Drosophila melanogaster: one gene and its partners. The protein of the gene in region 1 interacts with the protein of each later gene in a pairwise test. Each region holds a gene or a part of one and is shown on either strand. Other genes may lie near its edges.

What was found.
Region 2: the proteins of CG13857 (region 1) and Hmx interact in a two-hybrid assay, tested with the Drosophila melanogaster proteins (one large-scale study listed by BioGRID).
Region 3: the proteins of CG13857 (region 1) and CG43894 interact in a two-hybrid assay, tested with the Drosophila melanogaster proteins (one large-scale study listed by BioGRID).
Region 4: the proteins of CG13857 (region 1) and eIF4G2 interact in a two-hybrid assay, tested with the Drosophila melanogaster proteins (one large-scale study listed by BioGRID).

The regions. Positions count from the first base shown.
Region 1 is NT_033777.3:22,389,533-22,396,861, reverse strand, and holds CG13857 (uncharacterized protein), read left to right. Parts: upstream 1-2,757; 5' UTR 2,758-2,855; intron 2,856-3,336; 5' UTR 3,337-3,343; coding exon 3,344-4,372; 3' UTR 4,373-4,673; downstream 4,674-7,329. Other genes in the region: CG7059 (uncharacterized protein), read right to left, coding at 4,779-4,942, 4,999-5,493, 5,556-5,668, 6,789-6,820.
Region 2 is NT_033777.3:17,555,002-17,563,148, forward strand, and holds the start of Hmx (H6-like-homeobox), read left to right. Parts: upstream 1-3,928; 5' UTR 3,929-4,362; coding exon 4,363-5,192; intron 5,193-8,147. UniProt on the Drosophila melanogaster protein: Transcription factor involved in specification of neuronal cell types.
Region 3 is NT_037436.4:12,885,937-12,893,072, forward strand, and holds CG43894 (uncharacterized protein), read left to right. Parts: upstream 1-3,833; 5' UTR 3,834-4,287; coding exon 4,288-4,348; intron 4,349-4,406; coding exon 4,407-4,535; intron 4,536-4,603; coding exon 4,604-5,121; 3' UTR 5,122-5,169; downstream 5,170-7,136. Other genes in the region: CG14120 (uncharacterized protein), read left to right, coding at 1-3,231; CG14118 (uncharacterized protein), read left to right, coding at 6,777-6,924.
Region 4 is NT_033777.3:23,814,241-23,822,082, reverse strand, and holds the start of eIF4G2 (eukaryotic translation initiation factor 4G2), read left to right. Parts: upstream 1-2,845; 5' UTR 2,846-3,102; intron 3,103-3,263; exon of another isoform or gene 3,264-3,471; 5' UTR 3,472-3,856; intron 3,857-5,052; 5' UTR 5,053-5,071; coding exon 5,072-6,842; intron 6,843-6,976; coding exon 6,977-7,114; intron 7,115-7,167; coding exon 7,168-7,842. Other genes in the region: CG34355 (uncharacterized protein), read right to left, coding at 337-553.

The DNA of each region.
Region 1 (7,329 bases):
TAAGGCGTTGGACTGCTAATCCAATGTGCTCTGCACGCGTGGGTTCGAATCCCATCCTCGTCGGTTGTCTTTTTTTCTTTTTAATTTTATCCTTAATTTATTTTATTGGTCTCCATGTTAATTACATTTCTAATCTTTTCTAGGGTTAAAATCAATATACTTTTGTTTAAACGAAAGCAATAATAAAATAAATAAATAAAACTGAAAAGAATAAAAGCAATAAGCAAAATTTTATTTAAAAAGGATATTTTCCGACGAGGATGGGATTCGAACCCACGCGTGCAGAGCACATTGGATTAGCAGTCCAACGCCTTAACCTCTCGGCCACCTCGTCTTCGAAAAATTTTGATGTGAAAAGTACTATTTCTGGTCAAACCCTATCCAACTTCTTATCAAGAATCTCTATGAACTGAAGCTAATTAAAGGTAATATAAAAACTAAACTGATAACACTCAGTTCCAATCACAGCCGCTGGTTAAATTGCTTTAGCAAACTCTCAACTGTTTATTTAATAATTGGGTCAAATTGAACTGCAAGCAATTGGGCTTTTGAAAATTTGTTTGCTGTTAAAGAAAGTAGCTGAGTGTGGCTCGTGTGGGGTGAGTATTCAAGTGCAGCTAAAGGGTATTTAAGACAAACAATTCTTTTAGAGCTTAAAACCCAACTAATAGAATCAGAGGTATTGCGCGATGAAATTTTTCCATAAAGGGTATTTAGATACTGAGTAATTTGTTTACATAGTCTGTTTGGAGGGCGACTTCCTGAGGGGTTTTTAATAATTCAGAATCTCGTCAGCGGTCGTGCTGCTTCTGACCCAGTTCTCCGCCGATCTTCTGTCTTAGCTTCGATTTCTTTTTATATCTCTCTCTCTGTTGGTGTAAAAAACAAAAGTGGTTTACTTTAGATGGGCCATGCTCAAGCGAGTGTGCCGGTAGCAAAGTGATGATGAAGCTGATGATTTAATACGAGAGCTTCTGGCTTTTTTTAAATGGCAATGGCCATCAGCCGTGGTCCCAGCAAGCACGGCGTTTTGTTTGGGCCATGTTTGTGTCCAGGCTGTCAGTTGGTGTTAATGAACCCTTGTAGCCTGATAGCTGTTAGTTGTTTACGTTCCGAATACCGATACCAAGATAGTACTGCCAATTCTACACTGCACAAATCCACTGGAAGTACTATACTATGATTTACTGCACAAATAAAATGTACTAAGCTAGATATTAAATATATCGTAGTAATTGGAACAGATCATTGTAAACCATTTCTCATTGATGTCAGGCCAACTAGCTAGGCAGAATTTGAATAGTCGTATATTTTAACATAACAAGATGCCATGCTGACTTTCAAATATTTTCGGGCAGTGCATCAACGACATTGTCACCTAACGTGGCTTCGTTAGGAAAGTGGCCAAGTTTGATGATCCGCAGGCACGCGCGTTTTATATTTAGCCCCACACCAGGGCGACTGCGATCCTCGCGCCAGAGGCTTCGAGGAGCGGGGCTAGTCACGTGCACAAGGACATTCCAAGGCTAATTACGTGTGGCATGGGGCTTGGCCAAGTTGGGTACTTCGGGTTCGGGCTTGGGTTTGTGTTTGAGCTTGGATTTGGGCTTGGTTCTTAGCTGGACTCTGGGATAGTGCCTTGAGTTGGGTAATAGTAATACACACATAGAACACGAACCGTTCGTTATTGTCGTCGCTTGTTGCGGCAGTTGCCGCAATCTGCGGCATGTATCTGTATCTTTTGCATCTGCGTGGATGTTACTGCTCCTGCTGCTGCTGCAATCGCCGCTTAATTAGCTGCGTAATTTATTATTGCTCTAATCTCAACGCCGGCGCCAGTGCCGTTGGCTTTGACAAATAAACAAATTATTCATATTAGAATATTAATAGTGCCTGCAGGGGTTTATCTGCACCGGAGTATGTGGAGTATCTGGCATAATTATGACCTGTTTGACAGACTGTTCTCTCCTGTTCCCTTTTCCTTTTCCTGGCCAGCCTGGGATTCTTTGGCTGGCATTACACTGGCTCTTGCCTGGTAATCGTTAGGCGGACAATAAAGTTGCACACTAACTAAATATGTAGGCACGCCGATGCAATCGCACAATTATGCTCAATTATGCAACTGGGAAGAGATCTTTAGATCAGCAGAAGCAGGTGCTTTAAGCAGGCACTAGGTGCTATCTGCTTGGTGCTAGGTGCCATGTGGAATGCAGGGCGGATATCATTGACTAATGAGCCCATCTCCGACTCAAACTCGACGTCTTCTTTTGCCCTGTCATAAAAATTAAAATGCATAATCGCGGGCGTTTCTCGCAGGGCTCTTGTTACACCAGTCGAGAGACCTTTTGCCGGTATAATTAACATTGCTCGCGATTCCACCAAGCTGGCTAGCAAAATGCAGCAAGTGCATGTGGATATTTATATAATTTGCAGCTGTCAGGTTTATTCACAGTCGGGGCTAATTAAGCCGGCGTTTAAGCCGCTGGCAATTAGACGATTTATCACTTGCCACAGAACCTCAAAATCATGCCCTTAGATCGCTGAGAAAGGCCAAGCAAATGCAAACAAACTTATGGCCCAAACACTCTGCTTACCACACACTTAACCACTTCACTTCGCTTCTTCAATGCTGCGCATGCGCAGCTCCCGTCGACGGCGCCGTCGGCAGAGAGTTGGGAACCGGGAATGCGGGGATTCTGGCCAGGCCCCCATATATAAAGCGTCGATTCTGGCCGCGATCACACTCATTTCCAGTTGAACGCGCCTGCCGACCAGTGGGCCAATTGATTCGTTAGCATTTCGATTAGGACTCTTCTGCTAAATTAAGAAATCACCGATCTTCACTTACTGACCAGGTAAATTTTTGTACATAAAGTGTTTGTGGAAAAAGTGTGAAAACATCAAACATAAAATTAAGGGTAATTGTTTAAAATTGCCGATCAAAAGGTGAAAAAAATTAAAAATTTTTGAATGCGAACACATACTAAGCAAAGAAATGGAAAAACAGCGGCTTTACTTCAGAGTAGAATACAATTTAATAAGTAGATATTAGTAAACCAAAAGTGCCTACTTTATTTAATTATGAATTATTAGCTTGGGGATACTGCACACTTCGGGGTATACTTTTTGCTCCGATCTCGGCCGGCGATGGGGCTCCAAAGTACTGGCCATATTTTTTCCGTTGTTCACTTGTGCTGGTGGGGGAAAATCCGCTGGTTGCGCAATTGGAGTGTGAGAAACTAGCTCGAAGCATGCAAATCAGCTTGAATGGGGCTTGGGGTCAGTCGGGGATCGACAGAAGATATACTCACCGCCAATGCCATGATCCAATTACAGCTATCAAATGGGTAACCACATGTGGAGCATCATACTAATGCTGCTGGTGCTGGAGCAACTAGTGGCCGACTCTGTGGCAGCCAATCTAGCCCAGCTGGTGAAGAAGCAGAGCCAACAGAAGCAGTTGCAATCCTCGCAGCCAGGACTGCAGGTGGGACAACAACAGTCGCAGGGACAGCAGATCCACACGCAGCAGTATGTCCAAGACACATTGGGCGAGCAGCAGGATCTAAAGTCGGAGGACGAGGAGGAACACGATCCCTACCAGATGATGCAGGAGTCGAAACAGGAGTCGCGATTGCCCAACTCTGCCAACTATCCCTGGAGTCCATATGCCGCACCTCAGGGCAATCCTTACGATGCCATGCCCAAGATGCTTCCCTTCATTGGCTATGCCCAGCCAGTGCTCATACCCGTCCCACTCTACCTGGCTCCGGATATGTTCTATCCCGCCTTTTCTGGCGCCAGCAACGATCTCGAGGATGTGGTGATGTCACGAGCCTCCGGTGGTCGGCGTCCTGGGGCCAATCACGCGTCATCAGCCCGCAATTCGCCCATCTACTACGTAAGACTGCCGCCCACACCGTATATGTTTTTGCCCAATATGCCAACGGCTCCATTTGGGGGTGGATTCTCACCACTGCTGACCTACCAGCCCATGCCCTCATTCTCCGCCTACGGTTCGGTATTCAATTTGCCCGTGAACTTCCTGGCCAACGGAAAGCCCACTGGAGTCTACCAAGTGAACGGATCTCCGGGTGAGGCGATGGGATCCCTGACACCTGGCTTGGGTGGCGGTGGATATGGAATGCGGCCACCGACGCCTAGTAATCCCTACAGACCCATGTCGTCGCCTTCGATGGGTGGTTATGGAGGCTCTCAGCAGAGCTTTGGACTCGCCTCCATGCCGGTTCCTCAGCAGGACTCCAAGCTGACATCGCTGAAGCGTCCGTTCGTGTTCAACGGTCGTCCCGAGGACATATACATCCTGCCAAACAACTTGGGTCCGCTCTACAACGAGCAGAGCTACTACTAATTGCACTTCAGGCAAATGGCTGTGGCAACAACTGAAAGTATTACATAATGCATTTACTAGATCGTCTTTTCGATCGTAACGAAGCTTGAGAAAAACAATTTAATAAACTATACACTTGGAAAAAATGTTTTTTTTTTTTTGGTGTAGCATCCAATTTGACGTCATACAACGAAATAGCTTATTTTTATTATATTTATGTACGTATATGTAATCTTCTCCATCAATTATATTTTGTATAAATTGTATATTTTTGGCCGAAAATATCAGATGGTGTAGACCAATAAATAGTAGTCATAATATCCTTATCAGCCGATGTTCTCGGACTTTAAGCGGCAAAGGCTTAAGTAAATGCAGTCGGCCACATATCGATGTAAATTCCAAAAAAGTCGAGAGGAGTGCTCCACAATCAGTCACCAATGGCTGCCACCTGGGCTGTCTTCCGCCTAATATACTCCTGATCCCCCAGATTGATGGCAGCTCCAACCAAGCCTCCCGTTTTCAAATCGAACTCATAGACGCGTGGCACGCAATTTGGAATGTTAACCTTTTCGATGGCCTCGTTGGAGATTCCTACGGAGTGACCATCGATGTAAACCATAAGCTATTGCTAAGCCTATCTAACTTACCCTCAATGTGCTGGACGAGAGCACGGGCCACAGTTCCGTGGACGCACATTAGTACCCGGGTGCCTTGGAACACTTCCCGCCTGACCTCCTTCCACACGGGTTTCACTCGATCGACGCACATGTGAAGGGATTCCGCGAGGGGGAACTCACCGCGAGGAACATCATCGAATATGGGATTGCTGCAAATGGTGTAGAAGTAGCGGTTCTTCTCATCGATGGGCGGCGGTACGCAGTCGTATCCACGTCGCCAGGCCTGAACCTGCTCCTCCCCATAGCGATCGGCTACCACTCGTTTCCGGCAACCAGTCAGATTTCCGTAGTGCCTTTCGCACAGCCGCCAATCCTCCTTAATGGGCACATAGGCGCAGTTCAACTTGGAGAGTATCAATTCGGCCGTTTGACGAGATCTGCTCAATACGGATGAATAGACCACGTCGAATTCCAACTCGGATTGGACGAGCGCGGGAATCGCCACAGTCAGGGCCTCCTGGACGCCTAGTTGTTAGATAAATAAGAAGTTAACTGGGTATTTTAAACTATTTTAATCCTAATCTCACCGAATTCACTCAATGGCGCATCATGCCAACCGCAGAATTTGTTCTCAATGTTGAAATCACTTTCGCCATGCCTCAAAATCACCAAGCGATTTGTTTTCGTCATAAATTGGGAGCTGGATGGGAAAGAGATACTTTTGAAAGTTGCATAAATACATGAAGTGCATAAATATAATAAGTAATAATATAAGAAGTGTTACGGCCTAAACTTAAACCAGCACTTTTTTAAAGTTTACTATTAATCTTGACTTTACTACTCCAAAAAGTAAACGTTTGCGATTTAAGCCAGTTTTCAATGTAATTCAAGGACTTTTTCGATGGCCCGCGGGTTTTGCTCGTAATTCCAACGCAGTGACACTTTATTCTAAGCTTTATCTAACCTCGCCTCTTTATTTTGCTTTCGGTTTATCCACCATAAAGTTTAGTGGGGGACTTAGTTGTCCGGTTGGCTGGGGGTGAAGTGCAATCTTTTTGGAGGTGCTAGTAGCTAATGTCAGACAGCGGATGATAAGGGTACCGATGTTTCCACTAGAACTGCCGAGCGCCGTACAACCGAGATTCGTGACTAGAGAATTTGAATGTGTGCTCACCTCGACACCGTCCGGATGCGATTGAAGCGCGGTCCAGTGGCGGAAGCCCGCGAAACCTCGACAAAAAAAGAAGGAAAACAAAAAACAATCCGAAATACGAAAGCACGGCGCATTCCGCACATACTTTTCGGCTAGTGTATCTGATAGATACAAAGCGCGGCAAAATCGCGCGCGGCTGGGCCAACATGACGAGACAAAAACAAAATATAATTCGCATTATCTGATGTCCAGACGGCAGCATAATCACACGAACACACCCCCAATAAAGCTGGCCCATTCATTCACACAGATACTATTTGCTGGCTCGGCGTCGTTTTGGGTTTTTGTGTTTTGCTCGCCACGTTCTCGTTCGCTTTCGCGTTTTCGGTCCCAGTTCGAATCCCACTGGTTCTCGGATTCTCTTGCAGATTCCCCGCCTATGTAGGCACCAGTACCAGGTAGCCGAATACTCGGGGGACACCAGATACTTCCTAGACGTAAACAACGCGCGCCCACACCTTCGCCTTCGCATACTTACGCCTGAATTTCGCGCATTGTTATTCTCGTGGGTTGTATCTTTTTTCGTATCTTTTTGTTGTATCTCTCTATTTCGTTAGGATTTTCGCGTGTGTTTACTTTGTGTTGTGGTTGCCTTTATATACGTTACAGTTTGCTCTTCAAGAACTTGAAGAAAACCATGGTCTTCCCGTTGCAGCTGCAGCCACCACGTTCCTGTATCTTTCGGATGCCAATCCGCACTAAGCCCGATTCTTATTGGCAAACAATTTTATCGCGGCGCAGTTGGTTTTTGTTGTTGTTGTTCGTTTATTTTGTTGTTGCTTTTGTTTTTTTTTTTGTATTGTTTTGCGGCTGCGGCGGATATTTAATTGTTTTGTTGTGCTGTCGTTGCCGCCAAACAGCTGATTCGCTGGGTTTTACGCTCAATTTCGAATCGCGACTGGGGAAAATCAATAATAGTAACATTTACTGAAATTTTCGTATTTGTTTTTGTGTTTTCGCCATAAAATTGAGTTAAAACGAAGTGTTTACATTCCAGTCAACATGGTTGTCTAATTGTAAGTAAATGCATATTAAGTACTTATTTCGATTTTGGGCCCAACTTATTTAGCATCTACGAAGTACTTTTAATTACTTGTTGCTTTGGTTGAAGTGAAAGGTGGTGAGTAACATGTTTTTGAGTCAAACAT
Region 2 (8,147 bases), 4.8 Mb from region 1:
ACCGCACTTGCCGGTTTAATTAGTAACTTGAGGCAAAGTCGGCGGGAAATTTTGTAATACATTTTCATTTTATGCGGTACTTAGTTTTACTCTAACTGACTAGCTTATCATATAAATTGATAACATTATTATATCGGATATTGGCATCAATTCATTATTTTACATAGCCAAAAAATGCATATTATAGTTAAAGTAATTAAACGAGTTAAATACATTTATGGCAAGTTACTTGATATTGCTACCAATAAAATTACAAGCAAACAAAGAGGAATCTATTGTGCTTGTTTTTTTTTTTTTTGAGTATATTTTATTGTTTGAGATTTCAAACATACATTTTATCTCCCTTTGTTAAGCCGACAAATTTAATGCGAATTCCTAACCCTCTCGGTGCAACATTCTTATATTTATACTCTCCAGAAAGGCACTCAATCTGCAGGAGCAAAAAGGATATATGGAAAAGGAGGAAGAAGTGGGAATTTTGGTAACACACATAAGTAACGCACAAGGAAATCGGGACATAAACGGAAACGAAAACGAAAACTGTTCAACTGTTGAAATCATAAAATATTACCTTTCGCAATACAATTTATTTAAATCAAAGTCTAAAGCGTTATTTACGAGCACTGTGGGGTTGGATGGGTTGCTTTTCGGTGGAAATTGGGGGTGTGCGAGGGTGGATCGATGGGTTTGGAGGGGTTTGCGTGTGGTCCTTTATACATTCATTCCCGCCATTGTTTGCATTCTGAAAGAAGACAAAAGCCAAGCCCCCAAAAGCGAAGGAAAGCGCGTCACACAAATTTGGCTGACTAATAGCCGCAAATAGCCGAAACGATGATAATGATGTGATGGGTGGTCTGGTCAGCCCAACTTTGCTATGCCAGGATCCATATTTATGGAGGCTTCTGCCCACGGACGGGAACTACAACTCCATTTGCTTTTAACCATTCCATTTCACGTTCTGCACGTTTATTGTTTTACCATGCTTTCTGCCTATTATACAAAATTCTACAACAGACGGATGGACAAGAGCCTTCTCCATTTGCCTAATGTGTTTGTGTGTGTGAGTTGGAAAATCGAAATTCGGAAAATTCCGAAATTGAAATGGAGTGTGTCTCGGGTATTTAGCAGGAATAATGTTAGTTTTTGTTCGACTACCTTCAATTGCCAAATTAATTGCAGTTAAGTCGAGCAAGCTAAGCCCAGCTTGCTTGCCCTCTCTATCACTGCCCCTATTCCCCTCTCTTTCGCATTGCAAACTTTGCTGAGTGTCTGTCTGTCTGTGTGTGTGTGTGTTTCTATGTGTGTGTGCATCCTAAAGTGGAGTCAATGAAAATTGCAACTCCCACTTTGCTCGTACGTCAATTAGACCTCCTTCTCAGCCACCCTCTCATGTCATCTCCTTTCGCTCACACACACAAACAGGCAGTGTGTGCCAGAGGCTCCTGTCTTTCTCCTTCTCTCTCTCTCTCTCTCTCTCTTTCTACCCCTGTGTCCATCTCTTTCCATTGCAGCTTTAGCTCTTTTATTGCAGTGCAATTTGTTGTAGAAATCGTTTTGTCCGACAGTTGAACAGTTTGTTATTTCTTTTAAATGTTCCCAAGCAAAGGAGCTTTTCCAAATTTTTGTGGCTTGCCTTGGCCAGCGGTCAGGCATTGAGATTAATGGGAGTTTCCTTCTCAGTCCATCCTTTAAACTGCACAGGCAAAAGGATCTCCTACGGTATGTATTTGAATTATCACAGATTCCTATAATAATGTGCCTGTTTTTTTCTTTCAGTTTTACTTAAGCTACCACATTTCTCTTAATTCTTCTAATTCGATATAATGTACAACAGACTTTTTAAAATATATAATATTTTTAAGTGATCCTTAAAAGCCTTAAGATCTTTACTTTTCAGTGTAACCTTTAGTTAACCTCTTTGATGGCATTTCCAATTTTCCCAAATGAGCGCAATCAAATCCGAGTTGAAATTTCCTCGAGAACAGAGCGAAACACAAATGAAATCATCTGAAGGTGCTGAGTGAACGCAATTTCCATTTGTGAATTGAGATTGAAATGGAAATGGGGCACCACCTAAGTGTCACTATTTCTGAAACCGTCGAGGTGGCCGGAATTCTTCCAATTCCCCACTCCATTGTTTCCCGGAAAAGCCCCGTCCCCCATTGGATTTATTTTTTATACACCCCCAATCCCACTCTAAAGTCTTACACGAAAACGAATCAAAAACAAGCAATGCACAGAGGGAAATTACGGAAAAATGTGTTACGGACGCAGGTGATGGCTCCGTCAACACACACACACACACACATGCACAGCTCCTCCAAGGGGAAATGGGAGGTGGTGGGTGGCAGATGGGGGTGCTGGGCGGGTGCAAGGGTGGCGCCTTGCCCTCAGCACGTGGAGACGCACTTTGGCAAAAGCAATCTTCTAAACAGGATAAATGTAATTGCGCATGAATTTCTACGCATATTTCGGCGTCGCTGTCTGAGCTGCAAATGTTTGTTACCCATTTGTTTGGTTGTGTTTTTTATGCTCGCTTTTCCCGTCGCTGAAAAGCGTTCTCCGACATTTCGAGGAGCTGTCACCCCATTGGCCCTCCACTGGCCACGCCCCCAAAGAGAGTGCTCTCTCCGGTCTCGCCGTCTCTCTCTTTCGACGGGTAATTGACTCGCATAATGTTTGTTTTGTTTTGAGCAAATCGTTTGCAACACTCTTTGAATGCCTCGTGGTTGTCTCATAAAAAGCGAAAGCATTTAAAAATTCAATTTGCCCTCTCTCTCATTCTCTCTCTCTCTAACTTTTTCTTGCTCTCACCCGCTCTTTTTCTGCAAAGTTTGCAGAGCTCCTTCGCAAAAATGGCCGCCTGTTCGCTTTTTGGGGGAGGTTTTCTCTTTGGGGAACGGAACGCTGTGGAATGAAACATGCTATAAGGTAGAAAGCTCAGAGATTCCAAATAAAAGAAGAAACGGGAATGCATTACAATGACATGAACGATACTAAATATAACTTAATACGTTGGGAAATTGCTTACATATTTTTAATTATTTAAATATAATTGTTGAAAATCTTTCACTTAATTTCTTAAGGATACCTTCTATCCTCGTATTTTTGATAATATCGTTTTTGATTAACGTTGTTCTTCACCATTTCGTTATCAAACATAATAAATACATTTGATATTTTATACATTTGATAACACCCACAAAACCTCTTTTACTTTTCTTTGCATAATTTATAAGTTGCTTGTTTATTTCTTTCGATATTTTAGCAATTCAATGATTTATCTATATCACCGAACCCCATTTGTTGAAACTTTCACCGCTCAATCTGCTAACCGCAAGGTTGCAATCGACTGGTGCATTTTCGGCACACACTTTTCTGGTCGAAAAAGTTTGCATCTGGCTGGCTGGGAAATTTCAATGGCGCCACAGAGCAACACTTGACCCCTGTTAGGTGGCAATTGATTGATTTTATATTGGCATTTCAATAGACACCAGCCGAGCGAAGCGATTCGAGTCGAGCCGAGTGCGCCCCCACTTTAGACGCGTTCCAAATGCCAAGTGTTTCCCATTCGGGGGGTAGGAAAACCAAAGCGCACTCCACCAGCACCGCAGAGAAAAAATAGTAAAGGAGGAAAATGCGAAAAGTGTCTGTCGATGCGGTTGCAGTGCAATTGTCGAAATAAACGAAAAGAAATTCCGAACTGCAAATGGAATGAAAAAGAGCGGCAGAAGGGGTGGGCCACCAGGCGGTGAAAGAGAGGGACAGCGAGAGCGATAGAGAGAGAGTGGGACACACCCTCCCAGGAGGGGTAGCAAATACGCAAGTGTGTGTGTGAGTGCGGAAAACCATTTAGCGCAAAGACCAAAAGAATTTGCAGGGCTGCCAGCCAACCACCTCAGTCTCAGTTTCAGTTCCACGCTCTCCGGACACGAGACCGGGGGTTAAAAATCCAGAGACTGAAACAATAAAAACACTAAACGATCGCTTTGCCACACACAAACACAAGCACACACACACACGCAGACACACACAAGCACTCGCATACATACAGAGACAGAAAGGACGAAGGACTCAGAACACAGAACTCAGGACTGCGTCTGTTAACAGCCGCATTTAAATTCAAATGCGAAACGTTGATCAAACGGTGCAGACGTGTTTCTCCCAACGGTAGCGCTCGGCGTTTTCCCTTAACGAGTTTTTCGTGGCACGACTGAAGTGTACAAGGTTTGGAAAATTCTTTATTTTCCTAACAAATATATATAAAACAAAAAAAAAAAAACACACACACAAGTGCAAGTTGAAGAACAAAAGTGCTGAATTAAACGTTTAAACTGCAAATCTAAGCAAAAATCTCAAGCTATGTCTTCCTCCGAGGCCGAAGTTGACATCAGTGTGGTGTCCAGTCCGGAGCCGAGTCCTTTGGGCGCCGCTGCCCGCGACAGTCCGCTGCTGGCCCGCTCGCCGGCCCGTTCCGCCGACGGCAGTTCGCCCCCGGCCACGCCTACCCATCGCTCCAATACGCCCAACACGGCCGCCGGCACGCCCACAACGTCCGCCTCGGGCGGCAATCACTTCCATCACAGTCCCAGCGGAGGCGCTGTGCCGCCGGCGGTGTTGCACCATCATCTGCAGCACCATCTGAGCAGCCTGGGCAGCCATCCGGTGGCGCTGCATCACGCGCTCCACACCTTTGGCCACTTGCATCCCGCCCACGGGGCCACACATCCCGCCCTGCTGCAGCACGCACTCACGCCCACCGGCCAGCAGCAGCAGCAACAGTTGCAGGTGCAGCAGCAACACCAGCAGTCGCATGTCGAGCGCCTTAGTCCGCCAATGAAGAGTCCGGAGCGGAATGGCGGCGATGAGGTGCAAGGACACAGTCTGAACAACAACAACAGTAAGGCCCTCAATCACAACAACACTTGCGCCTCGGCGGCCGCAGCGGCGGCAGCAGCAGCGGTGGCAGCGGCCAACCTGAGCAACAACAGCAACGACAGCAACGGGAGCAGCGGGGGCGGCGGCGGCAAGAGCACCACCGGCTCCAACGGATTCACCAGCTTCTCCATCTCCAGCATCCTGAGTCGCAGTGAGCCGGCCAAGAAGAACGGCGCCGCCGGACTTATCACTCCGATCCCGCAGTTGCCGCAACCAGGAGCCGGCGGTCCACAGGATGCGGCCATGTTGTCCAGGTAATTAAAAAACATTCCAGACTTGCTCTAGTCAAAAATAGCCCTCCCATTTCAAATGTGATTAATCTTGTAAATATGAAGTCGCCAAATTTAAAAATCTTAGTGTCAACATTTTACTTCAATTCATTTTAACAATTTAATCTGCAAAAATTTAGTCCATCCATCTGTCATATATAATTAGTTACTTCTGACGATATTCAGCTATTCCGCCTAATTTTGATCCGCAAGATATTTTAAAAAAATACAAACTCGAACTAAAATTTCATTCAAATTTTAACCCTATAATTACTGAAATTAAATGAGTATAATTTCATATGCCCAAGGATTTCCCATTGAATACCTTTTTTTGTAATAATAAAAATCACTCGTCTTAAGTACCATACCCATTTATTGCTCAGTGTAGGCGACCCAGATTAGGACGTTCGCCGGCGAACTGAAACCAAAAAGTCAAGCCTTGCCTCAATGAGCCCAAAACCCAAAGAGGCTGCCATTCCACTTGTTCGCCCTCGGGTTGGGCCAATTTTGTATAATCGTCCTAGGGGAAGACAAGGCAAGGTGACACAAATCTCTTCGCAGGAAGTGCACAAAGAGGAGAAATGGGATGGAGACGGACTGAGATGGTAGCCGGGAGATGGTCGATAAGACCGAAAATTGTTGGGCAAACGTTACACGAGACATTAAGTGGGTGAAGATGCAAATGGCTAAAGTACCATGCCATTGTGCTCCGAGAATCTAACGATTCCAAATTCCAGATGCCAGACAGATAAAGCAAATCCAATGGAACCGTTTTTAGTTGCACTGGACGCTAGCTGACCTCGAATATATGCAGAAAAGGTCTAAACCATTTTTGCCCTGCAATTTGGCCAGACTATCGAGTTACATAACATTTGTTAGATGAAATTTAATGCACCGCTTCGGGAATGAATGTAACCGACTGTCCGGCTGATTGACGGACTGACAATGCTCCAGTATCGTATGCAAAACGTGGTCCTTTCGAATGAATGAACCCTCAGTCCCTCCAAGCTGACCCACAAAAACTGGTACGTTTCTACAGCTGTTTGTTGTGCGAATGCAACTTATTGATACACAATGTGCACTGGAAATAAACAAGTCCGAGCTAATATTAACGGATTTTGTAAAATTTAATTGTGAAAAATAGCACTCGAAAAATGTACACCTACATAAATCTATATTTATTTAGGTACTATTCATTAAAGAGCTTATTTCTCTTGCAACATATTCCATTGATTCAATTTAAATTTGTCTCAGTGCAAATGCGTTTTTTATTCATTTCATTCATATCATAAACGCTGGCATATTAACCCCACTTAGCCGGCTTTTTGAGTCAGCGATCGAATTTCCAGGCAGCTCGATTAACGCATGTGTTGAATTAAAAAAAAAAAAAAACAACCAAGAGAATTTATAAGTTGCACTTTTATTTTACGAGAGAATGGGAGGGGGACTCCCCCAGACGTTTTAGTCCTCGAACTTTTTAATAACGATCATTTTCATTTCATTTACGCGTGCCCGCGTCGCTGATCGTCTCGATAAGGAAAGTCGGGCTGGTGGGCAGGTTCTGTGGCCGAGGGTCGCTACTGTCCCAGTCAACTGGACTGTGGCCCGTGCGTGGTTACCCCAATTAAGGACCTCGTCCTGGACAAAGTGTCGCCTCCTGCTGTTTGGCGCTAGCCCAGCTGACGTGTGGCTGCCTATGTGACTGGCTTATCAGTTGATCATCATCGGCCAGAATGATTAATGCCGGGGGGATATGAATACGAGTATGAGCACAGCAACATTGCTGAGTGATCGTTTAATAGTTTGAGCCGACTTTCTCCCGGCGGAGCTCGGCTTATTTTGACAGTTGCGCTTACGTTTTTAATTAGTCGCTGGGCTTTCTCTGCAGCCTGTACTTAATTACGATTCAGTTGGGCGAGCGAGCGGGGGATTCGAAAAAGTTGCGCAGCCAGATAGCAGGAAAAAACCATTGAAGAGGTGTAACCCGATATGCTTGTGAGTGGACTGGAAACAATGGGCAACGGCGAACGGAAAGGGTGCTCCTGCATTGTCCTTTTCTCCCAGGATGACGCAAAAAGCAGACGATGACATTATAATTACACACACACATACACATACAGAGTAAGGTATACATAGAGTAATTACAATCCAATTGCAATCGCAATGGCAATTGAGGACCTAACCAATCCCATAACATATCTCTTCATCTGCAACTGATTTTCGGCGCTGAGGGGATTAGTGTTTAGTGGTGAAATGCCTTTGATTCCTTATCGCGATGTTGTGGTGGGAACTTCTATGGTCGCAATTTAATCAAAACATATTCTGCAGACCATCGGATGCATCCAATCTGAGTCTGCGGCTTGACTTCACCCCAACCTCTCGGATTCGCCGGTCACGTGTCATTTGGCGGGGCTTCCCATGGTGGCAAATCGACAAAAGATGAAATAATAGCAAAAAACCAATATCATGCTCTTCACAAATGTCACCATTTTCGGTTACTTTGTTTAGTCGCCTCAGATCAGTGGGACATAGCCTAAGCCGCTCCCCAGGCACTAGACTATTGCTAATAATCCCGTTTAATGACAAAAGCAAACTTCGCTGCCCATTCGAGTGTTTAATATTTTGCCTACTTTTGCGGCCAGGTCGAGTATGCCTCGAAAACCGTTCGAGAACCCCTCGAAAACTGCTCGAAAACCCGTACCGTTAAATGTCAACAATGTAACATAAATTCCTGGTATCGGAAGGGGAGTACGGAATTTCGGAAGGGGCGATCCCGCACGGGATGGACCAATTAGCGTGTGCAAATCTTTCATGCATGAGCGATTCCTAAGCGGTTTTAGGGCTCACAGATCGGTTGGCCACACAAATTTAAATAGATTTATTTAAATCAATTTCGCTAATGCGACAATCGTATGAAAAGTGCGGGTAATAACATTTGAA
Region 3 (7,136 bases), on another chromosome or scaffold:
GATCGTAATCTAACCACTGATTGCTATACAGGCACTTGGGGTGTTTCAACCCTTCCCGATGTGGATGGCATTGAGAGGGAGCTATATCTGGACTTCGATGAGAACAACAATGGCCTGATCCCAGTGCCCAAGATTTATTTCCGTGTGGTCATCGATCGGGTGACTCGCGAAGGCATTGTGCTAATAGGCATTAATAATCCCTATCTAACACTGGAGCAAATCCAAAAGGACTACATACTGTGCCAGGATATTGGCCATCAGCTAAGCTGGCTAACTTGGTACAAAGAAGATCTGCACGAGGGTTATTCCTATGCTTGCTCTGTCGAGGATTTCATTGAAGTGGTTAAGGACTTGCCGCTGGAGGACCTGCACACAAATGGTATCCTTGGATTGGACGACGTGACCACTGTTGAGCCTTCGACAACCGAAAGTTCCACAACTACTGAAGAGCCGAGCTCAACTACAAGCACCGAAATTCCATCAACCACTGATACTACACCTAGTTCCACTAGCGTTTCTTCTACCACCGAAGAGCCAAGCTCATCTACCGCTTCACCCACCACTGAACTACCAACCTCCACAGTTATATCCACCACTGAACCACCAACCTCCACAGTTACATCCACCACTAAACCACCAACCTCCACAGTTGCATCCACCACTGAGCAACCCACTTCCACAGTTACATCCACCACTGAACCACCCACCTCCACAGTTACACCCACCACTGAACCACCTACCTCCACAGTTACATCCACAACAGAACCAAGCTCGTCTACCACTCTGGAACCTACTTCAACTACATCTTCCTCTACCACTTCACAACCAACTTTATCAACCGAAGAATCAACTTCAACATCTCCAACGTCTACCTCTACTTCAAGTCCTCCGGTGACTACTGCCAATCCCATTGCCAATCCCTGTAGGTTTAGTACAAATGGTGATCTCAAGGATCCTGCTCCACTACTAACACCGCAAGGAGCTCTCAGCTGGCTGCTGCCCGATGAAAGTGGGCTTTACACCGTGGAAGAAGGATCCTCCATTGATCTGCACTGCACTGGAGCTCTGGTATCACCATTTAATAGGTATACAGCTCTGAGCGCTCGTTGTGTTGGTGATCAATTGTACGAGGCCGAAGGACAGCTGGTCAATATTCGAGGATTCGTCTGCCAGAGTTGGCCCACATATGCGGCAGTCCGATCGGGACAATCTTGCGCTGGTGGTACGGATGTGGTGCACATCGGCTTCGATGTGGCTGCCGGTTTTCTTAGCCATGTTGAGCTCTGCTACGATCAGCAGGAGCAGATCTCCAGATACGCTCGCTATGAACTGACTCCGGCCAATGTGGCCTACCAAAAGGGTGTTGCTCAACCGGGCTATCTTCGAGGTGACTTCTATAGCGGCGAAGATGTCAATGTTCTATATGACCAATCACACCAGCTGGATGCATTTAGTACGGCCCTGGGATTAGATGCCAGTCAGTACTTTGACAGCACTAAGGATCTCTATTTGACCAGAGGACAGCTGGCAGCTCGTCTTGATTTCGTCCATAGTTCCGCCCAGAGAGCCACCCACTTTTATGTGAACGCAGTTCCTCAATGGAGAAGCATCAATATTGGAAATTGGCTTGCAGTGGAATCCAGTTTGAAGCAATTTGTGGCGGATGAGGCACTTAATGTGAGTGTACATGCCGGCAGCTATGATATCTCAACTCTACCCAATTCACAAGGTGTCCAGACACCTCTGTATCTGAATGCCGAGACCAAACAACTGCCAGTAGCTAAGATCCTCTATCGCATTGTTATCGATCAGGAAAGTCGCAAGGGAGTAGTTCTAATTGTGGTCAACAATCCACATATAACATTGACGGAGACCCTCGAGGATTATGTGATCTGTGAGGATGTGGGAGCGCAAATCGATTGGTTGGACTGGGACAAAGCAAACCTGCAGAAGGGCTACTCCTATGCGTGCTCTGTAGAAGATTTCATCGAAGTGGTTAAGGATTTGCCCACAGATCAACTGCAAACAACAGGAATTCTTGGTTTGACTGATCAAATCTTGGACAATGAAGTGTGCAGCTTTAAAGTGAACGGTGATCTTAAGGATCCGGCTCCTTTATTTGTAGTCAGGAGTGAATTGGGTCATGCGAGATATTTGGAACCGAATCAAGAAGGAGTAGTTCAGCTAAAACATGGAGAAGCCCTTGAGTTCCACTGCATCAATTCTTTCAGTGGACCCTTCTCTGGTTATACCTTCGTCAATTCAACATGCTGGCAACAGCAGAGCATCCTGGCAATGGGCAGTTTGTATCAGCTGCAGGACTTTGTCTGCACTTCCTGGCCAACATACACTGCTCGTCGCTCTGGTCGTCCCTGCAATGGTGGTACTGATCTGCTTGAAGTGGGCTTTCAGCTGTCATCCTCCTCGAGCGACGACTTCCTGCAGACCTATGACGTGTGTCACGATGAACTGAGCGAAGTCACCCGCTATGTGCATCATGTTTTGTACCCCGGAAGTGACCAATATCAGCGATCTGTATCCAGGCCATCCTTTATACCCGGCGACTTTTACGGAGGCAAGGATGTGAACACTTTGTACACCCAAGTTCAACAGAATATCACGGTTTCCGAGATTTTGGGCATGGATGCCTCACCATACTTCAACACCACTGGTAATGTCTATCTGGCTCGGGGTCACCTTTCTGCAAAGACCGACTTTGTCTTTGGGGCCGCTCAAAAGGCGAGCTTCTTCTTTGTGAATGCGGCACCTCAGTGGCAGACCTTTAATGGCGGAAACTGGGAACGAATCGAGGACAGTGTGAGAAAGTTTGTGGCGGATGAAAACATCACAGTGGATTGCTATACGGGCACATGGGGTGTGTCCACCCTGCCGGATGTAAATGGCATTGGAAGGGAGCTCTATTTGGACTTTGATGAAAACAACAATGGTCTGATTCCAGTGCCAAAGTTGTACTTCCGCGTGATTATCGATCGCGAGAGCAGAAATGGCATCGTGCTACTTGGAGTTAACAACCCACATGCCACCATTGAGCAAATCGAAGAGGAGTACATCATCTGCCAGGATATTGGCGCCCAACTGAGTTGGGTCAGTTGGACCAAAGAGGACCTAAAGAAGGGCTATTCATATGCCTGTACTGTGGAGGACTTTACTGCAGTGGTGAAAGACCTACCTTTACAAGACCTGTTTGTCGATGGAGTCCTGGGTGTTTAATATCAGATTTTGTGGGTGTGCAATTTCCAAAAAAAAAAACGAATTTCTTAATTTAAAACCAATAAAAAGACTATCTTAAAGAAAACAGGTTTTTATTGAAGGGTAGCCCTTAGGAAAATGCTTAAAGGCACGTTTAAATTAAGTTCTCATGGGCCATAAAACAGTGAAATCACGTTTAGCTTTTGTTCTCTTTGGAGTTTATTGCATGTTGGACATATTGATAAGAGTAAGGTTATCAAATGCTTGACGTTATCGTTTATGGCCGGGGTAGAGCTATTTATTTACCCAGCCATTGGATTATTTGCTCACGTGCCGCACGTTTCCAAAAGCCTTAATTTTTTCTGCTGTTCCAGTAGCCCAAGAGGCAGTCCCTTGGCCCGAATCGAAGTCCCAATGGCAGTGACTTTCACATTTTCTTATCGAAGCTAAGGAAATACCTTGTATTACTTGTGCGGTTCCCTTTGTTTATCTTATCGCAACACAATCGTCGCAGAACGTATGAAGTATACGCCTGCTTGGTTAATAATTATAATGGACTTTTTAGGGGGTAAACAAAAGGCAAAAACCGTAAATGAAGCAGATAGAAACCAAAATTGATTTATATTGGTCGAGTAATCATTCACTTAGAATTGTTGCGGATTCAACAATGCGGTTAAACTTCGTTTTAATTAATCAGTAATATCTATCAAGGCTGAAAGTGTGTGTTATTTTGTTAAGCAATGTTTATTTACCCCTGTTCAAGGCGTAGTTCAGAGACCGTTTAATAGATAGTTCTATTCGGCTAACCTACTGCTGAAATATTTAGGCAGTAACTTATTAATCGTGTAAGTTTTAATGTACTGCATTTAAACAGCCATACAAAAATATTCAATTAGCGCTGTTTAATGAACTTTTATTTATGTTAGAAAGAGTCAGAACAATAATCATCATATTTCGGTGATTTAATTTTGCAAATAATCATTACCGCAACTCATCAACCATGAAATATCAAAATGATATAAATATGAGGGATTTAGGGAAATGAATTTAGTTAGTTTCGGAATTTTACAAGAGAAAATGGAACTTGTTGGTATATATTTGATATTAGCCACGACGATTGTTGTCCAAGGATACAGAAGTAAGTCAGCGAACAGGATAAGGGATAAAATCTAAAAAATTCCCCACTATCAATACAGAATTTGGACTTAGTTGTGAGGATATTGCCTGTATATCTGGTAAAAAATGCATTGTATCCAGAGTTCCCTGCGAAAACCCAAATCAGCAAGAAGGAGAACAATGTGGAACCTATCCGGAGTGCCAATCAGGTTCGTAAAATTTTGTTTTTTCATCGGTTCACACTGAAATCTGGTCCTTTTCAACTGATCCGTTTCAGATCAGCTGGCCAGCGATTTCATCATCGACACTACACAGACCACTGCCAACACCCGAAACAGCATCATCATACCCAGCACTTCCACGAGTCGCAATCGGAATAATAGGAACAGTGACTTTAAACTGCTGAGCGATTTCAGTAACTCCGATACATTTGCCACCCATGCAGGCCAACGGCAGGCTAATGTTTTGGTTATTGTTCAAGATGGTTCCCAGCAACCTCAACAGCCAAATCCTTGGCTAAATCGAGGACAAAGTCCTCCCTGTACCATCAGTCCGCTCTACCCATATTCCTGTACTTATCCCCGTTATCCGAATTCGGGAGCAGGATTGCCTTCTTATACGCAGCAGCGATCGGCCAATGGGCCACAATTAGTTCCTCCCACTCCACCATGCTACTATAACTGCTATCCCAGTGTGCGGTCAAGTTCATATGGTCAATATGGATACCCCCTGTCTAGATCAGCCAATCCCTCATCAACCAATAACTATTTAATCTACCTCACATTAGCTGGCTAAAAGACCAGGAGCTTTAGTTATGTGCAAATAATAAATATAGAATCTATTATCAACCTTTTTTTTTCGTTTCTATATCTTCGCCAGTTTTGCACCGTTTCCGGCGAACGCCACAAATGCCTTATCAGCCTGTGGGGATGCCAGCTTCAATGCCACCCGGGTATCCACCACCTCGCCCACCGTTTCAAATGCAGCAGCCGCGTCAAGTTGCACCACAATATGTGATTCCACCTCAGCCCAACCCACAGTACGCAATTCAATACCAGGCCAACCGGCAATATGCCATGCAAGGACAACCCAATTCGGCCAATCCTTGGCTCCACTTCTCAGTAGGGATGTCCTATCCAACGTATATGAACTATAATGGACGTTCCGCTGGGAACTCACTTCCATCATTTTACAATCCGTACCCACCCAGTTATAGTACCTATAATTACAATATTAACTTACCCTTTTCGGGTGGATCTTCCTAAGATCTTCGATACTGGTTAAAAAAAATTCAAAGCTACTCAGCACCGGATGGACTCCTTCCGAACATTATTTCATTACTTTCAAATTTGTCGTTCCTAAAATTAATAGCTAATACATATATTTGTCAGCTTCTCTGGGGGAAACGATGACGGATTCCGAAATGGATTCTGATGCAACACTACCACAATTTCACAATCGATCGGCACGTCAGATTCCAATGCGTCCCATGCCAGGACCAATGCCAATGCCAGGAGCGCTGCCGTATCCTGGTCCTGTTTCAATGAATGTACCATCTCCGGGGCGTGCGTATTATCCCTCGTATATGGGACAACCTTATATGGGACAACCGTACATGCCAGGTGCCATGCCCATGATGCCAATGATGCCCCAGGGAGGTGGAACTATGGGTGGTACCAGCATAATTGTGGAGCCCTTAATAATCCTGCCAATGGGCATTGGGGCAGGCACGGGTACGGGCGTGAATCCAAATTCATATTATGGATCGAATGGAGCTTATCCCACGTATAACAATTACAATCCCTACAATACGTACACTACTGCACGACCCAGCTACGACTATAACAATTATAACAACAACAATAATAACAATAACAACGATTACAACTCATATGGTTAGATTTCAATTAAATGATCCCCGAAATCTACATGATCATTATTCATTTACAAATGAATCGAAAGCTGTCCAGGTATGAATATATTGTGTACATACATTGTTTGCCAGGTCATTTAACAATAGATTATTTTCGATTATTAAATAAGAAAAATGTCAAATATAATTGACGATTAATCTTGAATAAAATTATTGAGATACATCATTCGCGAGATAAATCACTTTTTGTTTTAGCTCTGTAAAGAAAGGGGATCGACAAAAGCAAAGAACTTAATGCGACCTAGACCTAAATACACATACATATGTATAAAGGTATATAGATAGAAAGAACTCGGAAGTACTCAAAAAATGCAAACAATCCAATGGTATTATATCTTTATTCTCAGAGAGATTACAAGACAAAGAAGCAAAACGAAAGAGAGAGCGAGAGAGAGAGAGAGATGTAAGATACAAGAGCACGAACTGAGAATATAAATAAAAACACCTGTTCACCAAACAAATAATTCAGTCGGCGGTTAGATAGCAACTTAACCGGTCGAGTTGAGTTTCCAACAAAATGATGCTTCAGTTTATCGGCCTAATTTTGGCGGTCGTGATTCTGCGAGAGATTCGGGCACGTGAGGCGATCGCAACCATTCCAGATGTGGGTCAGATAATCAAAGATCTCGATGGACTGCACATCGATGGAGAAATGTTTCATCAAGGTATGTGGTCGCCTAAAAGTTAATAACCATACGTTTATCCAAAGCAGACTGAGCTTTGTTTGAGTAGTTTGACTGTAGTGGTCACATTCGGAATGAAATATATGTACATTTTGGAATGCAAAAAGGTCTGATGTTTGTTTTTCTTAAAAAAAACTATATTGTAGAAACAATAACCTTATTTACACATAAAAGTCACCTGCTTCAACAAAGTA
Region 4 (7,842 bases), 1.4 Mb from region 1:
GCAATGTTTAATTAAAGTGTCACATAGTAAACAGAAAGGAAATTATTGTGAAGCGCTGTGCAGTCAATAAAGTATAACTTGAGTTGATTTGTAAAACACCCAGGATTACTGAACAAACTCCACTTTTTTTTATTAAATGAATTGGAATGATTTGGAATAAAAATAGACCAGCATTCCCTGCTATTATTATGCGTCTTCTTTCCGATTCTGCAGTATTAATTGGTGACCTTTCCGCTCCTAATATGTGACCCCTCGCTGTCCGTTGGCACCCACACAGAGACACTTCGAAGGACACCCACGGGACACACGAATGGAGGATGGGTGCCACTCACTTACCTTGACAGACGTGGCATTGCAGGAGCACTGCAACAGCAGCAACAATAGCGAGCTGCGACCATGTGATGATGATGGGTAATCCGTGGGCAATCGGCGTGCTCGTCCTTGTCGATGGTTTTATTGTTGCTACTGCTGCTGATGGGGCTTCCGCTTGTCCCTGACGACGCGTTTTCCACGAGGTGGTTTCCCTGACCAACCTGCTCGCTTTCCTCCACATTTTCGGCTGGGCGATTGAAACAAAAGGCGGAATCAAAGCAAAAGTAATTTCGTTGGCTCCCAAATTTTTCCACTCGTATCGAACTTTTGGATGCCTCGACGGTTACCAGAATCCTGCGCTTGCGTGCGTGGGTGAGAATGCCCGGGGTTTTGGTTTTTCGGGCACAGGTGCTTCCAGGCCGGGGGTGGGGCTTAGGTGGGAGTTCGGAATTCCGCGCTTCGACCTTGTTTCAGATTAGGTTTTCTTAATTTTGGTGGGTTTCCTTTAAGCCAGCCAAAGAGCTTGGCGGCAAAGTGTAGTAATCCGTAGTCCTTGGCGAAGTCCTTGTTTCGAGGTCTCAAAGTGCTCTATATACACACATTGCTTCGCTATATATATACATTTATCTGTATGTACTGTCGGTTGGTTATTAATTTTCTGTTTACTTTTTGTATGTTTTAACTTGTAACTTATAGTTGCATAACATTTGCTTTTTGCATTTGCAAACAATGCAATTTACGAATACCGCACTTATGAATTTCTTTTAGAAATTTCTCTAATTATTGCACAATTTTCACATTAACATTTATGGTAGTCGAGCTTATACGCGATTTACTTTGAGTAAATCTTGTGTTTGGTTTTATTTTAATTGATTGTGTTAAATAAACGGTAAAAAAGAAACGAAAAAGTTTTATTTTGGGCTATGCCCATTCTCGTTTTAACGGGTTTTCAGTTCGCGCACTATTTTTATTCGTTTCTACATGGATGCCAAAATTATATGAGTAATATAAGAGTTGATTTCGTAACCGGCTCAGGTGCAGTAGTCGCAGTCGGTTGCAATTTCAGTTTGGTGCATTCTCTTCTTGTTGTGCAGAATTTTTCAGCGCCAAAGTGGAGGAAAGTGATGCGGGAAAAAAGCGTTACGCGCGTCAGGGCGAATCAAGCTTCGGACTTAGTGTGACCGCAGCGGGAGTAAAGGAATTCGCTTTTGGTGTGGCTGCACTCGCGTCCCCGAAAGATACCATGCGGTGCTGAAAGAAATACCAAATTAAATCATTATGGGTTCAAAATATACCAAAAAGCAGAGGCTTTTTTTTTAAGGGGGATTCAATTAATAAGTATACTTTTAAATAAATTAATAAGATGTAAGACGATATTATCTTTGAAAAATGTATAAAATTTAAATAAAACTTTAAAAATCGTATCTTTTTGATCCAAATTTCGGAAAGTGTTGCAATTTCATTTTCGAATTGTATTGTCAAAACCTGCCGCTCAGGTAGCGCACTCAGCGACCGTTATATTCAAAATGTTTGTGCTGAGAGCAAAATTATTGAAAAAAAGTAAGAGCCTCGTCCATTTACTCATCTGTTGTCCTCACACTATCTTTAGTGCAACCGCAAAGGCCACAAAAACATGACAGTACGCACAGGAAAACAAGCATTGCAAATGACTTCACAACTGAAATGGAAAAAAAAAAATGCAAAATACGGACAGTCCGTATGCGGTTTCGTTGTGCCAAGTTAAAATATTTGCATTTGCGGTCTAGTCTTTTTGCATTTTCAACCACCAAATAATCCCTTCAGACTCTGTTTGTGGGCTCTATGTGTATATAATTTTTTTAGGCTGCAATAAGGCTCCGAGTTCATTCTTGCACTCGTTTTACTTTAAAGTTTTGGCCATAGTGTATACTGAGATAAGGAGTAATAAGTAGAGAAGGGTATAGCATTGGAAAAACGGATACTAGAGGGAGGTGAGGGCGCAGAGTAAAGGATTATGTGGGAAGTGGAGGGCGTTGCGCATCCGGCAAAACAGAAAGAGCAAAACTTTTACTACAAGCGCGTAAACACTGCAATTTCTGCACGAGGGGTAGTCTAAGAGCATTAAGGGGAGGCAATCCGGAAGTTGCGAATGGAATGGAAACAGGATTCTGCGCATATGCTGTCCTACGAATGCGTAAATTATGAATATATCATTCAAATTAAAATGTAAAGTTAGAATAAACAATAATAACAGCGAAATATGTGTGGAATTTATATGATATTCTGCGTCATGCACCACAATGCGCATTATATAATAATTGTTATTATAACACCTGCATAAGGCCTATTTTTCTATTTCGAAAGAATGATTATTCTTATGATGAAGAACGTTCAAAATATTACGCGCCAAGCTTGAATCCAAGTTCTCCACCCCGGTTTGAGGACGCACTAAAATGTATAATATTCCTGCGGGATATTTCTGGAACTTTCACAATCGATATTCGCTGCGTAGACATCGATGCTGCCGCCATCGAGTTATGTTCCATCCCTACGTGCAACGGTCACTCTTATTTCATCAAACGAAACGGACGTGTTTCTGCAGACTATTTACATTACAAAATTGTTTGTAACAGATAGTGAGCCGTGTATACATAACGAGGTGAAGCAGACGATGCACTAATGTAAAGGCGCAGTGCCAGAGCAACTTTTTGGCGTGTTCCCCGCGTGGAACTGCATTTTTTTTTGTTTCCTTCCTCAGTTTTGTGTGTGGAGTGCGAGCGAGAGAGCGTGCTAGCGAGCAGGAGCAGAACGGTAAGTACTGGCGGCCAGACAGAGACAGAGAGAGCGCAAAAAAAGAGCGAACGGCAAAAAGTCAAAACGGTAAAAAAACATAAACCAACGCCTCGCCTTTTCGGGGAAAAGTATTACCTGAAAATCTGAAAAAGGTTAAAAACCTACAAAAAGTCCCCTTGCCATTAGTGTCAAATTACGAATTGGCACTTGGCTGCCCATTTCTCATTCTCAATCCGGGGCTGAGGCTGCTCAGCTGGACAAGGAGAGGGAATAAATTCGTAGCAGGCGCTGCTTTGGTGTTCATATTCATCATATTGTAATTTTGATTCCTCGCAATTGCAAAATTTAAGCATACGTTTTAACTTCCTCTAACGCCTTTAATTACAGAACAAATTACCGTGAAATTTTAGCACTAGCCGTACGTTATTTTGTATATTTGTACGCATGTACGTGTACGTGCCCCTCGTCCGTCTGCACAAATGCAGATGTGCATGTGCATCACAGTGAATTGGAGTATTTTTATACATGGAATATCTGAGCTATTGTAGTATTCCGGATAGAGCCAACAACCACAAAGACGAGGAGTTTCCACGAGAAATAGGAAAAAGGAACGGAGGAGCAAATAAGCAGCAGCAGGAGGAGGCGTAGAGCTTGACCAGGTGTCAAGGGAAGCCGGATAGGCTTAAAGGCAGGTCTACCTTAGGAACTAAGAAATAGGATAAATCGAATACCCTTATAATCATCACATCTACCAATCGAAGCACAGGAAGCGGTAAGTTTCGAAATCTGACTTACAACTTACTCCCATTCTAGTATTTGCTTGCTTTTTCACGCAATTTACATTAATTGTTTGTTTATTAGTTTAATAACACACTACTACTACTATAACACACTGCCTCCAGTACGAATGCACTCCCAATAAGCGATCGCGATCCCATTTAGAGCAGCACCCACACACTCCAACTGGTTTTGTTTACAAACAAACATGAAACAAGTGAGCCTATCTGCCAGCCAGGTTTTCGTTTTCCTCGCCATGGAGTGAAAAGAGCCATGCACGTACTTCGTCTGCTGGAAAACTGGTTTTCTTCTGGCTTGAAGGTGCTTGGCCGCAAACTGCAGCGGAGTTGGTTTTTCTAGGCCAGCAGAGAGCTCCAAAGAGAACACCACAGTGAATATTGGCCAATGTTTGTCTTCATATTCTTATCAATCAGCATTGAACGCTTGCTTAGCAAAACAACAATGAAATTCCGTTTGGTAGTATTATAACTAAAAGAAATCATATCGTAAACAGTTTTAAGTGATCTAGTTCTTGCGGTCTCCACTGTGCCGATGGAAGTGCTGACGGAATGCCAAACTGGTTGTAGCCATAAAGACGACAGCAGCCCATAGCTCACCTCCTACGCTCGCTGGCAGCTGCTTCTTTGTGGCTGCCTTTGTTTTGTTCCGCTTTAAGGCCAGTACTGACTAATAGCGCCACTTGTTACCGTGTGTCACCTATGTACAAGTATTTAGGCTGCGCAAGTGACTAGTCCATTGATAAAACCGGCGCGATAAGGTGTCGAGCCATCTTCGAAAGCATTTTGGATGTATACACGCCCCGCGAGTGACATCATACACCACATTCCAATTAAAGAGCTCAATTGATTGAAATATTAAAGAATAAAGAAAAGGGTAAAAGAGGGAGTGCATTTGTAAAATAGCCCTTAGTCATAAGATGTAAACACATAATTTGCATGATCATTTTTGGTTGCTTTTGCACACGTTTGATTTAACTCTCATTCGCATGTACTCACGGCTTTGACTGAAAACCTAATACGCCAAGCATTTTCCACATCGCCAACTCCATTTTCACTTTCATTTCCATCTTACTAACATTACGATTTGTACATCTGTTTTGCTCTGGCCGCGGTTTTCCTAACTCTCCGTGTGTGCCTGTGCGTGTGACGGTGCGATTGTATGCGTGTGCAGATCCTTCGAAGGTCCTCCTATGTTCCCTCAACAGGGAGGGGGTGGGAAGGGAACCAGGCCACAGTCGACACATCAGCAGAACCACAACCATCAAGCCCAGCATCACCAGGCGACGCACTCGCACCACCATCACCTCCAGCAACAGCAGGAGCAGCAGCAGTCCCACGCAGTGTTCGTCCCGAACCACAGCGGCCTGCACCACCACCAGCAGCAGCACTTACTGCAACAGCAGCAGCAGCAACACCAACAACAAGCAGCCGTCGCCGCCGCTCATCTTCAGCAACACATCCAACAGCAACAACAGCAGCAGGTGCAAGCCCAGGCCCAGGCGCACCACCAGCCGGTCATCTTCTACAATACCCAGCCGTCCTACGCCGCGCATTCCGCGGCGGTTAACAACAGTGCCAACGGCGGCGGCGCTACCCTCCAACTGAGCGCCGCCGCCAGTTCCAACACGTTGGGACATCCTCTTACTGGTGGTCACCATGGTGGAGCAAATGGCGTGGCGCCGGGGTCAAACATGCCTCGTGCCCTGAGCAACCCAACTCTACCACCCCACTTTCAACAATCAGCTGGCCTGATCGCACCTGCCGGCGGAAATGCGGGTGGACCCTACATTTCCGCCACCTATATACCAATTAATCAGACCGGACCTCTGATGGGCATGCAGCCAGCTGTGACCTTTCCCACTAACGGAGCGGCTGGAGCTTCATTCTATGCGGCTGCGCCACCTCCTCCACAACAGAAACAGCTTCCTCCCACTGCTCAACAACAAGGTCCAGGCGGGGCACCGGGAGCTGCTCAAACGCCGACACTAGCTTACTACCAACTTGGGCCGAACGCTCAAAACTCTGCTGGAAACAACGTGGTTAGTGGTGCCAATACACATCGCGGCAATATGCGCGGAGGGCAAAGATCTACTCCCACCGCCCAACATACCAACTACTTTACCGCATATACCATGGCCCCAGGAAATGCCCAACGTCCCGCTCCGACAAATGTGGCTCCAATGATGAACTCGCGCAGCGGTGCACTGAACGGAGCTGCTGCTTTTCATCATCTGCCGCACAACTTTGGCATTCCCAGTTTGGCATTGGGACCGCCCGCCGGGATGACGACCCCTATTTTGGCTCCGGCTGGAATGCAGGCGCCGCCACCCCAACCACCAGGCGGGCTGCACACATTTGCTCCGCACTTGCAGAGCAACAGCGCCACCACCTTACCTAGTGTCCCAAGTGTGACTGGAGTTCCCGCGGTGGCCAGTGGTTTTTCAACCACCTCGCTTCCAACTCCGTCAGTAACAACAGCACCGCAACTGGGGGCCAACAGCGATAAGGTATGCAAGCGCAAATACGCCATTCCCATCATCCATCCTGACACCATGGAGAATGTGATGGATGGATGGAAAAGATCGGTTTTTATAAAAAAGGACTCAAACTCGACACTAACACAGCACACAGATCTGGACACAGCTCTGGATGACAATAGTACCTTGTGCCTGTACCAGGCGCCCACTCTGATGGACTCTGGCTCGGGGTCATCGTTATTGTCTGGCGCAATGGTAGATCAGCAGATGCAGACTGTGAAGCCGGCGAGTTCCCTTAAGCAGTCCGTTTCCTTGGAAAAGGTGCCAGAAGCGGTGTACTGCAAAGACGCTGTCGGTCAGGACGTACACCCATCGCCTCCACCCAAATCAACGGATAAAGATCAGATCAGCGTAATTGTAAAAGACATACTAGCCCACTCGGGCAACGCAGAAGACCATCTAAGCTTCTGGCAATATAGTGACGGTGAGTTCATAAAAACGTCCAAATTTTCTTTAGAATTGTATTTGTAAACGAAGGGAAGCATCTCAATATCGTTGAAATGTTGAATTGAAGTTAGCCGGGCTTCAAGTGTCAAAGTCTAATGATTCCTCTTGCAGTGGACAATGTCACGGAGACCCACAATAGCCTGCCGCTAGTACAGTCGGACTTGCCCGATACAACCGATACGTGCCAGCAGCCAGTGCTTTTCCAAGAGCAAGCCAAAAAGCAACGTCCCAAATTGGCCAACAAACAAAGTATGTTCCGTGACAATTAATCCATTAACGTCGACTAAATTGTTTGCTCACAGGTACAGCTACGCCAGCATCCATAGCGAATGACGTAGCTGAGGCAGCAGCCAGCGGTTGCCCAGGCGTCTCCATCCTGTCCAGAGGCCAGTCGATGGTAACACCAGCTGGCCCCTCGACACCCCCGCCACCTTCGCGTGTCGCCCAGCAGAAGTCGACCAAGTCGATAGTTACCACAGCTGTAGCTGCGTCGGTTAAGCCAACAACGGGTTCACCCAACAGGAAGTCGAGTATTCAAGCCGCCACCTCGACTACGACCAGTTCGGGTGCCTCTTCGTCGACAGCCTCAACACCGACCCACGCATCTAGTAAGCTTAAACAGCAGCCTGTTAACAATCTGCAGCATGGAAAGCAGATTCCAGGAAAAGTATCAACTCCAGCATTACCACCGACTGCTTCACGAATCTCGGCCGCTGTTACCCTGCTTGCCGGCACCGCGAACATAACAACCACTACCAACTCGTCCAAGAAACAACGGCAGGCCCAAAAACGGGCCAGGGAGCTGGAGAAGAAAAAACAGAAATCCTCGATAACAAGCACTACAAGCACTCAAGGGCAGAACAACAATGGCAAGGGCAATGGTAATGGCAACGCCGCGCTAGAAATTAACACAAATAGCAACAATGCTGCCACAGTGACCACAACATCAATGAGCACACTGACCACAACAACCACGG